Linked DNA regions of Kluyveromyces lactis. The protein of the gene in region 2 binds, or shares a complex with, the protein of the main gene of each other region. Links are inferred from orthologs where the notes say so. Each region holds a gene or a part of one and is shown on either strand. Other genes may lie near its edges.

Region 1 (4,127 bases), on a different chromosome or scaffold from region 2:
TGGTCTGATAAACAAGCTGTTTACCCATTGATTGGAATAATGCATTAATAATTTCCGTATCCTCTTGTGTGTATCTTCTGTTGTTTAAAGTCTTCATCCAGAACTTGGTAGTGGAACTGATGGTGAATTTTTCCTTTGCCTGCAAGTATTTCAAGAATTCGGGCACAATGAATTGAGTCCAGTACTCTGATTTTAGTGCTAGAGATGGCTTAGCTTCCAACACTGAATTTACCCAGGATACCATTGATTGGATCAAATCTGGGTCCGATGAGATATGGCTGGAATAATAGTTGAGGAAAAACTGTTTGAACATTTCGTCGAATTCGTGTGAAGTTAGTTGATCTTTGAATCCAGCTACAATCTTCTCTAGCTGGTACTCGATGTAAGGTAGACCAGATGCATAATCGCAGTTCGAAATACATGTCATATAGAACGACATCATTTCAGATAATGGATAGCGTAAGAAGTGCGGTATATCATCTGGTAAAGTTATAGCTTTCCCGATAATTAAACAAGATACTTCCACGAATTCTGGATCAGTACCATATTTGGATAACGCATATTGTACAAGATGCATGACTTTGTCCTTTACTCTCATTGGATCTTGTAGCCAATAAGCCTGGAATGCGGGTAGTTGGGCTAGGTACATTGGATTGTTTTCTATAAATTCGTCGTCGTTAGGTAATTGAGAAAGGCCGGATCCTAACTCACTGAGACAAGCAAGTAACGATAACATGTCAGATTTGGCATCGGTGGTTTGTATTAGGCCTCCAATCATATCCACCATATTAGAAATATGATTGGCTTGAGCTTCAGGACCCTCCGAAACGCACATCTGTATAATGTTACCGATCGATTTCACAAATTTTTCCCTAGTGAAATGCGATACAGGTGATTCGGGCCTCATAATAGAACGTAAAACTTGTATGAAATTTGGCAAGAAAGGAATTAACTCTTTTCTACAATTCTCGCAAATTAGCGATATCGTCCTGTTTAGTTGTAGTTCCATTTTAATCGAATACTCAATTGGATTGTATTGCCTTGATGTTTCAAGACATTCGAATAGAGATTCTACGATTGGTCCAAGTGGCTTGGAATCGACGTGGAAATATGTGGCCATTACACCAAGTAAATTGCATGTGGCTTTAACGAAGTCTAACTTCAAAACCTGTGCAGTTTTCGAATGTTCCTTCTGTTTGCATCCTGTTTGCAACAAGAACAATAAATTGTCTATAAGATGGTTCTCACCGATAGCATCACTGATGAAGGGAGATTGTGAGAAATTCACTCCATCTAATAATTTGGCAAGCAAAAATGACATTGCCTCTACCTGATATAAGTCAACATTATTCGTGTCAGCTTGGCCAACACCTCTAATGAGAACGATAGTTAGTTTACTATGACCCAAGATCGTCCATAATATCTCCATGAGATCCTGTGTTGCGGATCTGAAATCATCAAATTCATGAAGCAAAGATTGATCATCATCTTCTTCCATAATCTTTTGTTTATTCATTAGACTGATCTTCGGTAGGTAAATTTGAACCACTTGATTGAACATGTTTTCAGCGATTTCGTTTGCATCTGCCTTTAAGGCTTCTTGAGGAAGATTACCATACCCTTCTGCTAGATCGAGCCAGAATTCTATCATTTTAGATGAATAAGTTTCCTGCAAGATTGGAATAAGAGGGAAGTTGGTTAATTGTAGTAGTACCCTGATGTAATCTTCCAAAGATTGGTCACCCGTGTTCTCATGAATATTGGTAAAAAGTTTGTTACAAACGTCGAGGTTGGAAATTTGTAAGAAGTCAACAACACAGGATGCCAAGACCTTCAAATCGTCATATAATTCATTTGTTACTAAATGGTTCATATATGCTAACATCCAGTCGTTCGAGGTGTTCATTGAATGCCTTGAAACTCCAAGGAAAATTGCTTCTAGTTTAGCACGAACTTCGAATGACATAAGCGTAGGGTCATTTGAGAACAAATCATCGAAAATTGAGATCACCTCGTCGGAATATGGGAATTCCTGGGATCCGTTGCTTGCCATGCACATGACATTTATCATATTGTTGAACATCTCAGTCAAGTCCATAGTTCCATGAGCGGAGACATTTCTTGCCATTGATATGTAATGAATCCAAGAGGTAATGCAAGGAAATACTTCGGAAGTTGCACCAGAAGACATCATATTCTCCAAGTTAAAATTCAAAATGGCCATAGTGCTAATATATAAATGGTTGTGTACCATTTCATAAACGTTGGACAAGGAACTTTTTTTCGATTGATATTTGTTCATGTCTTCAACAATAACCTTTGTGAATAATAACAATAATTTGTTTAATGGAGCAGAAGAGCTGATGTTCCCAATTAGCTCCGTGTATGGAACATCTTCATTCAAGCATGTACGAACCAATCTTTCAGCTATTTCGGAATTGTCTGTCCTCCATTCAAACAGGTTTGATTCGTTGCAATGTTGCAATAGCTTGATGCATGTATTTACAGGATTGCGCCATGCAGGAATCTTATTTGAATCAGCTCCGATGGCATCGCTATTAATTGTCAAAAAAATTAAAGATAGGTTTGACATCAACTTGGTGATTGTCACCAATAAATTGGAGGCGGCGGCTGGATTGGAAGTAAACAAAAACATCATTCTTGTAAGATGAACTAAATTACCTTGGAAGATAGACCATAGCTGGCTTTCGGTATGCAAACATGTCGTTAACTGGACGGTATACGTAAGGGCACCAAAGTACTTCACATTTGTCGAGCCATTTTCCTGAGATAGTAATGCATTGGCAAGATCAATCCCTAGCTCAGATTTTTGGTGTTGTTGCAATACGTTTTGAATGTCATTTATTACCTTCGAATCATGACTGTTGTTGAAAGTTTCAATAAGGGAAACAATATGGTTGATGTCCATTATTTTTTGAGAATCTACTGAAATTAACTAAATCCTCACTAATGTGTCACCAGATCGTGCTTCATGCAAACACTGATATCGAGGGGAATATGCTCTTACTTGACCTTTCTTTTATCAGATATATTTCTTGTTCTTCTACATTAAATGGTAGAAGTTGAAGCTTTTCGAATTTTTTTTCTATCTTTTCTGCAAGCCATGCCATTCATTGCAGATGTTGACGAAAAGAGAACTCTGCAGTACAATGACAAGATGGAAGTTATTAAGACTAGTTATTGCTGCTTATATAATTTTCGATACACCCGTGAAGGTAGATCATTTATAGTTTTTATTGTATCGTAGTTTCTACCTAAATAGGCTCTTTATATGATTATTATGGCTTTTTTTGTATTATCTAATCCAATGAGTCTTATCACATCGGTGATAACAGTTTTAATTTCAGGCTTTTCTGAAATAAAATCCCTGACAATTCTAAGCGCATTGATTTTCGTGTCAAATAACACAACATTGTTGTTCAATTCGTTCATTTTGCCCGATTCAAAAAGAGAAACAATCTCCATTAATGGGACTAAACCTGGAACGACATTTGGAATTCGATACACATCTTTTTTGTCTGAGGATGCTGATGAAGTGGAATTGCCATCATTGGGAATCTCCTTATAAATGCTACGTTGCAGATCAGGAGAGTAATTAATTCCATATTTTCTTAACTTAGCGACGGAAGTGATGGCATTCTGAGAAGCATTCCCATTGGGGCCATATATATCATCAACAGCGTTAATGAATGGTTCATCAAAGTTTATTTTGTCAGATGCACTGGTGATGAGAATCTCGCTATCTGGGGAGGCAACGGTCGAGTTCAGCCCGACAAACAATTCGTTATGTTTAATAATCTGATGGATCTTCGATAATGGCACGTATTTTTGATTACAGACATCAAGAATTTCACCACCAAACTTGGCCTTGTAGTTCATCTTTGGGCAGTCGTCTATGTAGTAACCTAGGTAATAGTACGGCCTTCCGATTTTTGACACTAAAGCCAATTCTCTTAATGCACTAACCTTACCTAACGACCAATCATAATAATCTGGATCCCAAATGAAATAGACTGATGATACCCCACTGGGCAAAAAATCCAGTACAGACAATGCAATCAATTTCCCATTATGATAGTAACACTCATGAGCAGGTCCATTTTTGG
Region 2 (2,415 bases):
AGTATTTGTAAACTTGAACTATCTTTCGATACTTCAAACACAGGTTTCATTAAATTTGAAGAATGTTTTCAAGTTTGTTGACAAGAACAAAGATCCTCAACTGAAAGAAAGATGTCAGGATTGCTTTTCTACATTGGATAGTTTTATTGCATACAAACAAAATGAACGTAACAAATAAAACAATAAATATATACAGTCTACACCTGATAATAGTAAAATACAAAATAATTGAATAAATCAAGTATTCATTAGCATTATTCTTGATATTAATTTTAAATTTTACACGAGAACTATACACCTACTGGATCGTTCCATCCTATGATATATCTCTATACAGCCATATAACAATGGTCAACACCGTAGAATAAATCGAGCCATAGAATACAGCAAATTTATTTGATTTGCGCTTTACGCTGGGGAAGGCCCAGGGTTTCCCGCAAGTTGATATCTGCCGTCATCTGCGTATTTGCATTTTCTCTGTCAGTAAATGGTTTACTTCCGAAGTTGTATTATGGAGGTATCACTTGGTATACCTAAGAGCTTGTTCTGAGACTTTCCTCTCATATTCCTTAATGTTTTTCGAGAAAGCTCTCCAAGCTGGCTCTTGCGCAGGTGAGTTAGGGTTCGGAGAATCCAAAAGATCCTGTACACCAAGTAAGAGTTGTTTCAAGGTGATAGCAGGTCTCCAGTCCTGATCTTCGTTCAAGATTGATAAGCAAATGGTTCCACTGGGATAAACATTAGGGTGATAAAATCCTGCTGGAAATTTCACTTTAGGAGGTTTTGACGGATAGTCATCAGGATATTCAATGGTCAAAGGATAAAGACCATTTTTCCAGAGAGTGCCGTCTCTTCCAGGGATACCAGCCTCCCATTTCTGCAAGTTCATAGATCCATCTGTCTTTTTAGTTGGTTTGGCAAAGAACCCATAAGGATGATCTTTTCTCCACTTCTTTCTCTCCTCTTGTAACCTCTGTAGACAAAGACTACTCATGACTGTTTATATTATTCGGCCGTTCTGATCGTCGAGTCGCTTTAATATACAGATACCGTAAATATATTAAGGTACGTTGCGCCCTGTTGTAAATAGAGCCTTAACTCAGATTTACCGTTGTTGAATAATTGGAGGATATGATATTCCGTGCGATACGTCTTTTTGTTTGTGATTTTGAAGATGATTTTGATATTGTAGAAAAAGCATCAATAGTGTTTTGAAGAAAAAGTGATATTTTTCAGAATTGACAGTGACTAAAGAAACCTTAACTGAGGTATAATTAATAGTAAGGGCTACGCACCACCAAAATTTCAACGGATAGTAATCAGATACTTCGACAAACGATGTCAGACAACAAAGTTGACGAATTTGATGATTTGGATGACTATTTAGAGGATCCACGCAAACTGGATGAACAGGAAAAACAAGAAACTGTTCCAAATGAGGCAGTTACTAAGGGTGAGCCTGCTACGCAGAGCGATGATCCAGAAGTAGTCGAGATGATGGAAGATTTGCAGAAACAGTTCCAACAATTGATGCAGCAGGAAGGCGGTGATACTGACCAAGAAATGGTTCAGAATTTCGAGACATTGCTAACTGTACTTGGAGATGCATCGAAGGAGAAAGACCATAACAGTGTAAAACACGTTCAGGAGCAATTGAAGAGCGGTACTGGTTTCAAGAATATCATTTCCAACACCCTAGATAGATTGAAAGAAAATTCTACGAAAGTGGATGAAAGTTTGGAGGAAGAGAAGAAAAATCAGAACTCAGACGATATTCTTTCCCAATTGCTAGATCAACTAGTGGAAAACGGCGATGGCAACGGTACGGACGGAGAAGGAATGGACAATGCCATTTTGAAAATGCTTTCACAAATGTCTTCTAAAGAAGTGCTATATCAGCCGATGAAACAAATGCAGGGAGAATTCACCGAGTGGATGGGATTACACGAAGAAGACCCCGAACACAGCGACAAGATTGATAACTACAAGAAACAGTATGCACTTGTGAATCAGATCATCGGTGTATTCGAAAGCGATGATTATACGAATGAAAAGTACCATGCTGAGATCGCAGATCTATTGGATGAACTAGAGCAACTCGGTGACTCACCGGTTGCAAAGGGAACTAGTAACGATCCTGGAAACGATATGTCAGAATTAGCCAAGATGCTGGAAATACAAGGAGATGAAAATCTAGGTAACATCGACAAAGACCTTGAAGATACCTGCAAACAGCAATAAAATGTGTATATGAGCTCATAATATAATATTTAATCATAATAAACTATTATTCTATTTCTTTCACTCTTTGCCTATTAGTATGATATTCGAATAATATGGCTATTTTTCTCTTTTCGACTTTGAAATTCATATTGAGGACTGAAATCACGAGACTAGCTCTAAACCAATAATAAC
Region 3 (3,699 bases), about 160 kb from region 2:
TTCAGTGTTTTCTCTGATCAAAACTAAGTTAACGTTTTCGTAAGTAGTCTTGTAACCCTCGATAGATTTAGCTGGACGCACATTAGCGAACAAACCGAAAGTCTTTCTTAAGGTTAAGTTCAAGGATCTGTGACCCTTACCAATTGGAGTAGCCAATGGACCCTTCAAAGCAATCAAGTTCTTGTTAATTGAAGCAACAGCTGGATCTGGAATAGTAGTTAATCCGTTAACGAAAATTGGACTCACATCACAACTTTCCCATTCAATAGGAACCTTGGCTGCGGAAAAGATCGCCTTAACGGATTTGGAAATTTCTGGACCAACACCATCACCTTCAATGAAGGAAACAGTGTACTTACCAGTCTTTGGGTTTGGCTTACCGGTGTATCTACCGATACTTGGTTGTTTCTTGGTAGCCAAAAATCTACACGATTGCTTCACAATTGATTGTCTGAACATGTCTTTATAGTATGATTGTTGAGGAGAACGGAGAGAAATAATGAAATCCCAAAAATATGTGTCTGACGAATTTCGTTGATATTGTGTCAAATCAGTGACGGGTTACGTTCGTTTTGACTTGAAGATACGAATTGAGTTATTTCAGTTCGTCGTTACGTTGATTCTCTGTTTAATCTTACTCTAGAAGATAAACGATTAATTGGAAAAAATGAAAACCACAAAATAACACTGGTATATATACACCCTTTTATCTGCTTTTGTATCACTCAACAGTCGGAAAGACAGAACCTTACCTCGAGAAAACGAGCTTATATTTATCCGTGTTCAATTGCAGAAATCGACAGGTATTCTGAAATCCTTTATTTTAGGATATATATATATTCGATTTATATTTCTCAGATACTTAATGTAATTTCCCATATGCATCAACATTAACTGAGCACACATAGGCTCGAAGTAGTGCAGCGAATTGGAAAACATCTCGTCATGGAAATCGTTTCGGGACCGAGAAAAGGATGATGGTTCACGGAGGGTAACTCCGAACACGGCCTCGGTTTCAGTCATGTGATGTGAAAATTATTTGCACGTGACTGTGTTTTTTTTCTCTGCTGTTTTCATTGTATCGTTGAAAAATAGTAGCTGGCCATCCATTGAATATTATGAACCTTCCTTTAAAGAGTGCAACATTACTTGTTTGGACAACTACCCTTTAAAAGGAAAAAAGTATACTCAGCTTACCATTTGAAACATCAAATTGTTGATATTTTCCATTGATAACCATTTAAAGTTTTTAGCTAAAGACTTAGAGCTCAACCAATTGTTTGGCATATATTCACGATGGCAAGAGAGACGAATTTGGTAAAATGCATAGGTAAAGAAAGCTTTGAAAAGCTGCGCGATATGAAGGTGTTACTTGTTGGCGCAGGTGGAATTGGCTGTGAGCTTTTGAAGGATTTGATTTTGTTGGAAATAGGTGAAATCCATATCGTTGATTTGGACACTATTGATTTATCGAATTTGAACAGACAGTTTTTATTTAGGAAGAGAGATATTAAACAACCTAAAAGTAATACTGCAATGAAAGCAGTTCAAAGGTTCAGCAACTCTAAACTAGTTTCATATCAGAATAATATCATGGATACAGAAAAGTTCCCACTTTCGTGGTTTGATCAGTTTTCGATTATATACAATGCATTGGACAATCTAGCGGCAAGAAGATACGTCAATAAGATGTGTCAGTTCACTAATAAACCTTTGATCGAATCTGGGACTTCGGGATTCGATGGATACATACAGCCAATCTTCCCAAGTGTCACTGAATGCTTTGATTGCACCACTAAGGAGACACCAACTACGTTCCCGGTCTGTACCATTAGATCCACGCCATCACAGCCAATCCACTGTGTGGTTTGGGCCAAGAATTTCCTATTTGGCCAACTTTTTGCAGAATCCTCAGAAGAGACCGTAAATGATCAAGATTTAGGTACTGATGATAAAGAAGAAATCGCCCGCATCAAAGAGGAGACTAACGAATTACATGCTCTCCAGCAGTTAGTCAAGTCCGGCGATGAGACGAAAATCACAGATATTTTAAAGAAATTGTTCGTCGATGATATCAATAAACTTCTAAAGATTGAAAATCTTTGGAAAACGAGAGTGAAACCAACACCTTTAGGTGCTTTACTACCATCTGATAATATCCCAACAGATCTAGCTCAGGTATGGACATTGCAAGAAAATGTAGATAAGTTTATCGAAGTTACGAAGACATTGATGTTGAGATTAAGGCAGGAACCATTCATAGAATTCGATAAGGATGATGACGATACCTTATTGTTTGTAGCTTGTGCCGCGAATATCAGATCTTACATCTTCCACATTGCACCTAAATCTGTCTTTGATATTAAACAAATGGCTGGTAACATTATTCCTGCCATTGCCACTACAAACGCGATCATCGCCGGTCTTTCTTCATTGGTTTCTTTACGTGTTCTAAACTTGTTGAGTAACGTATCAAATAATCCTTTAGAAATTCCAATGGCATTTACGGCAAGGGCAAGTAATATCACCACAAATAGGTATCTATCGAATCCAACTCTCGCACCCAAGAATCCTCATTGTTCAGTATCTTCTAACATTCAAAGAGCCGTACTGAAAATACCAAAGGCAATTGTTGAGCACATGTCTTTGTACGATCTTAATCAGAAAATCATTTCAAAATATGAGTTCACTGGTGAATACTCCGTTCTCGATACTAATACTAACAGCTTATTGTACGATTTTGATTTTGATGATTTAGAATGCCGGAAGCTTTCAAGATTCAACTTCAGAACTGGTACTTTTCTTCTTTATAAAGACGAGGAAATGGAAGATGGTGCTCAATTAAGGCAGTCAATTGAGTTCTACTTGGAATTTGTACCAGAAAATAGCGGGGAAGACCTTCAGTTACCAAATCTACCAAGAGATACATACACTTATCATTCCCCTTATGAGAATGCAGAGGATGAACAAACAGCTGTCGATGCAGACCAAGATAGAACTGAAGACCATATTCAAGCCATCGAAACCCTGATAGTAGATGATGAGCCTGCCGAGGATGAAAGGAATAATTTGAAGAGGCATCTTTCAAATAGTATTCCATCTCCACCAACAAAGACACCCAAGTTGAATGCATCACAATCTGATGAAGATGATCTTATCCTGCTCGATTAATTGAGCATCGCTAGTCTTCCATATCTATAGATATCTGTTTTACAGTGATGGATATATATATATATATAAACGCACATTAAAGAACTGTAATTATAATAGTACAACATTTTTTGGAGTTTTATTACGTAGTAACATATGGCAAATATGATGAGGAAAGTACAAACAATGATTACAACTGCCAGAAAACCAAAACTGAAAAATAAAGAAGAATTCAACCATTATCATAGATGAGAAAACAGTTATATGCCCATTTGCCAAAGTTGAAATATTGTGTGACAAACATTACGGTATATCAGGTTATTCTCGAATAGATGATCTTGAATGACTTTTTAGTCTTTGCAACCAAGATTCTCGTTTTTTGGATCTTGGTTGACGTTCCTCTTGGCCATCTTCGAAGTCGCTGTCTGTCTTTGAGGTTGGGAAATCATCTTTACTTATGCCCACTATTGAAGGCAGTTGTAACATTTTTGCACTATTTGTGCTGCCCGTCTTGCGCAGCATAGGCGAAGATGGTCTTGAACTACTATC

The links.
Region 1: the proteins of UBC9 (region 2) and KAP122 are in contact, whole or in part, in a crystal structure (PDB 6Q83), measured with the Saccharomyces cerevisiae proteins. The link is inferred for Kluyveromyces lactis from reciprocal best matches to the Saccharomyces cerevisiae genes UBC9 and KAP122. Residues at the interface, in NP_010219.1 of Saccharomyces cerevisiae: Arg13, Arg17, Lys18, His20, Pro21, Phe22, Gly23, Phe24, Lys27, Lys30, Asp33, Gly34, Ser35, Met36, Pro128, Glu131, Pro132, Trp134, Arg135, Ser136, Arg139, Asn140, Glu143, Lys146, Lys147, Leu150, Lys153, Gln154, Tyr155, Ser156; in NP_011499.1 of Saccharomyces cerevisiae: Ala308, Ile367, Asp371, Arg427, Val429, Asp430, Leu433, Asp434, Asp437, Thr440, Asn441, Asn489, Glu492, Asp493, Asp500, Ser504, Arg606, Lys656, Val659, Lys663, Ser698, His699, Phe700, Asp754, Asn757, Cys758, Tyr761, Asn820, Ser821, Ala822.
Region 3: the proteins of UBC9 (region 2) and UBA2 are in contact, whole or in part, in a crystal structure (PDB 3ONG), measured with the Saccharomyces cerevisiae proteins. The link is inferred for Kluyveromyces lactis from reciprocal best matches to the Saccharomyces cerevisiae genes UBC9 and UBA2. Residues at the interface, in NP_010219.1 of Saccharomyces cerevisiae: Met1, Leu6, Gln10, Glu11, Arg13, Lys14, Arg17, Lys30, Asp33, Gly34, Ser35, Met36, Leu38; in NP_010678.3 of Saccharomyces cerevisiae: Asp474, Ser476, Leu478, Gln483, Arg484, Leu485, Leu486, Asp488, Tyr489, Asp490, Phe491, Asp493, Leu494, Leu511, Ser513, Glu515, Glu516, Gly517.

What each region holds. Positions count from the first base shown.
Region 1 is NC_006037.1:432,383-436,509, reverse strand, and holds the start of KAP122 (Kap122p), read right to left. Parts: upstream 2,930-4,127; coding exon 1-2,929. Other genes in the region: ATE1 (arginyltransferase), read right to left, coding at 3,289-4,127.
Region 2 is NC_006041.1:442,025-444,439, reverse strand, and holds UBC9 (E2 SUMO-conjugating protein UBC9), read right to left. Parts: upstream 995-2,415; coding exon 521-994; downstream 1-520. Other genes in the region: SYO1 (Syo1p), read left to right, coding at 1-178; PEX19 (Pex19p), read left to right, coding at 1,339-2,241. UniProt on the Saccharomyces cerevisiae protein: E2 ubiquitin-like--protein ligase mediating SUMO/Smt3 attachment to septins and PCNA. Seems to be involved in degradation of S- (CLB5) and M-phase cyclins (CLB2).
Region 3 is NC_006041.1:285,585-289,283, reverse strand, and holds UBA2 (E1 ubiquitin-activating protein UBA2), read left to right. Parts: upstream 1-1,296; coding exon 1,297-3,171; downstream 3,172-3,699. Other genes in the region: isocitrate dehydrogenase (NAD(+)) IDH2, read right to left, coding at 1-459; KLLA0_E03081g (Rho GTPase-activating protein), read right to left, coding at 3,469-3,699. UniProt on the Saccharomyces cerevisiae protein: The dimeric enzyme acts as a SMT3 E1 ligase. It mediates ATP-dependent activation of SMT3 and formation of a thioester with a conserved cysteine residue on AOS1.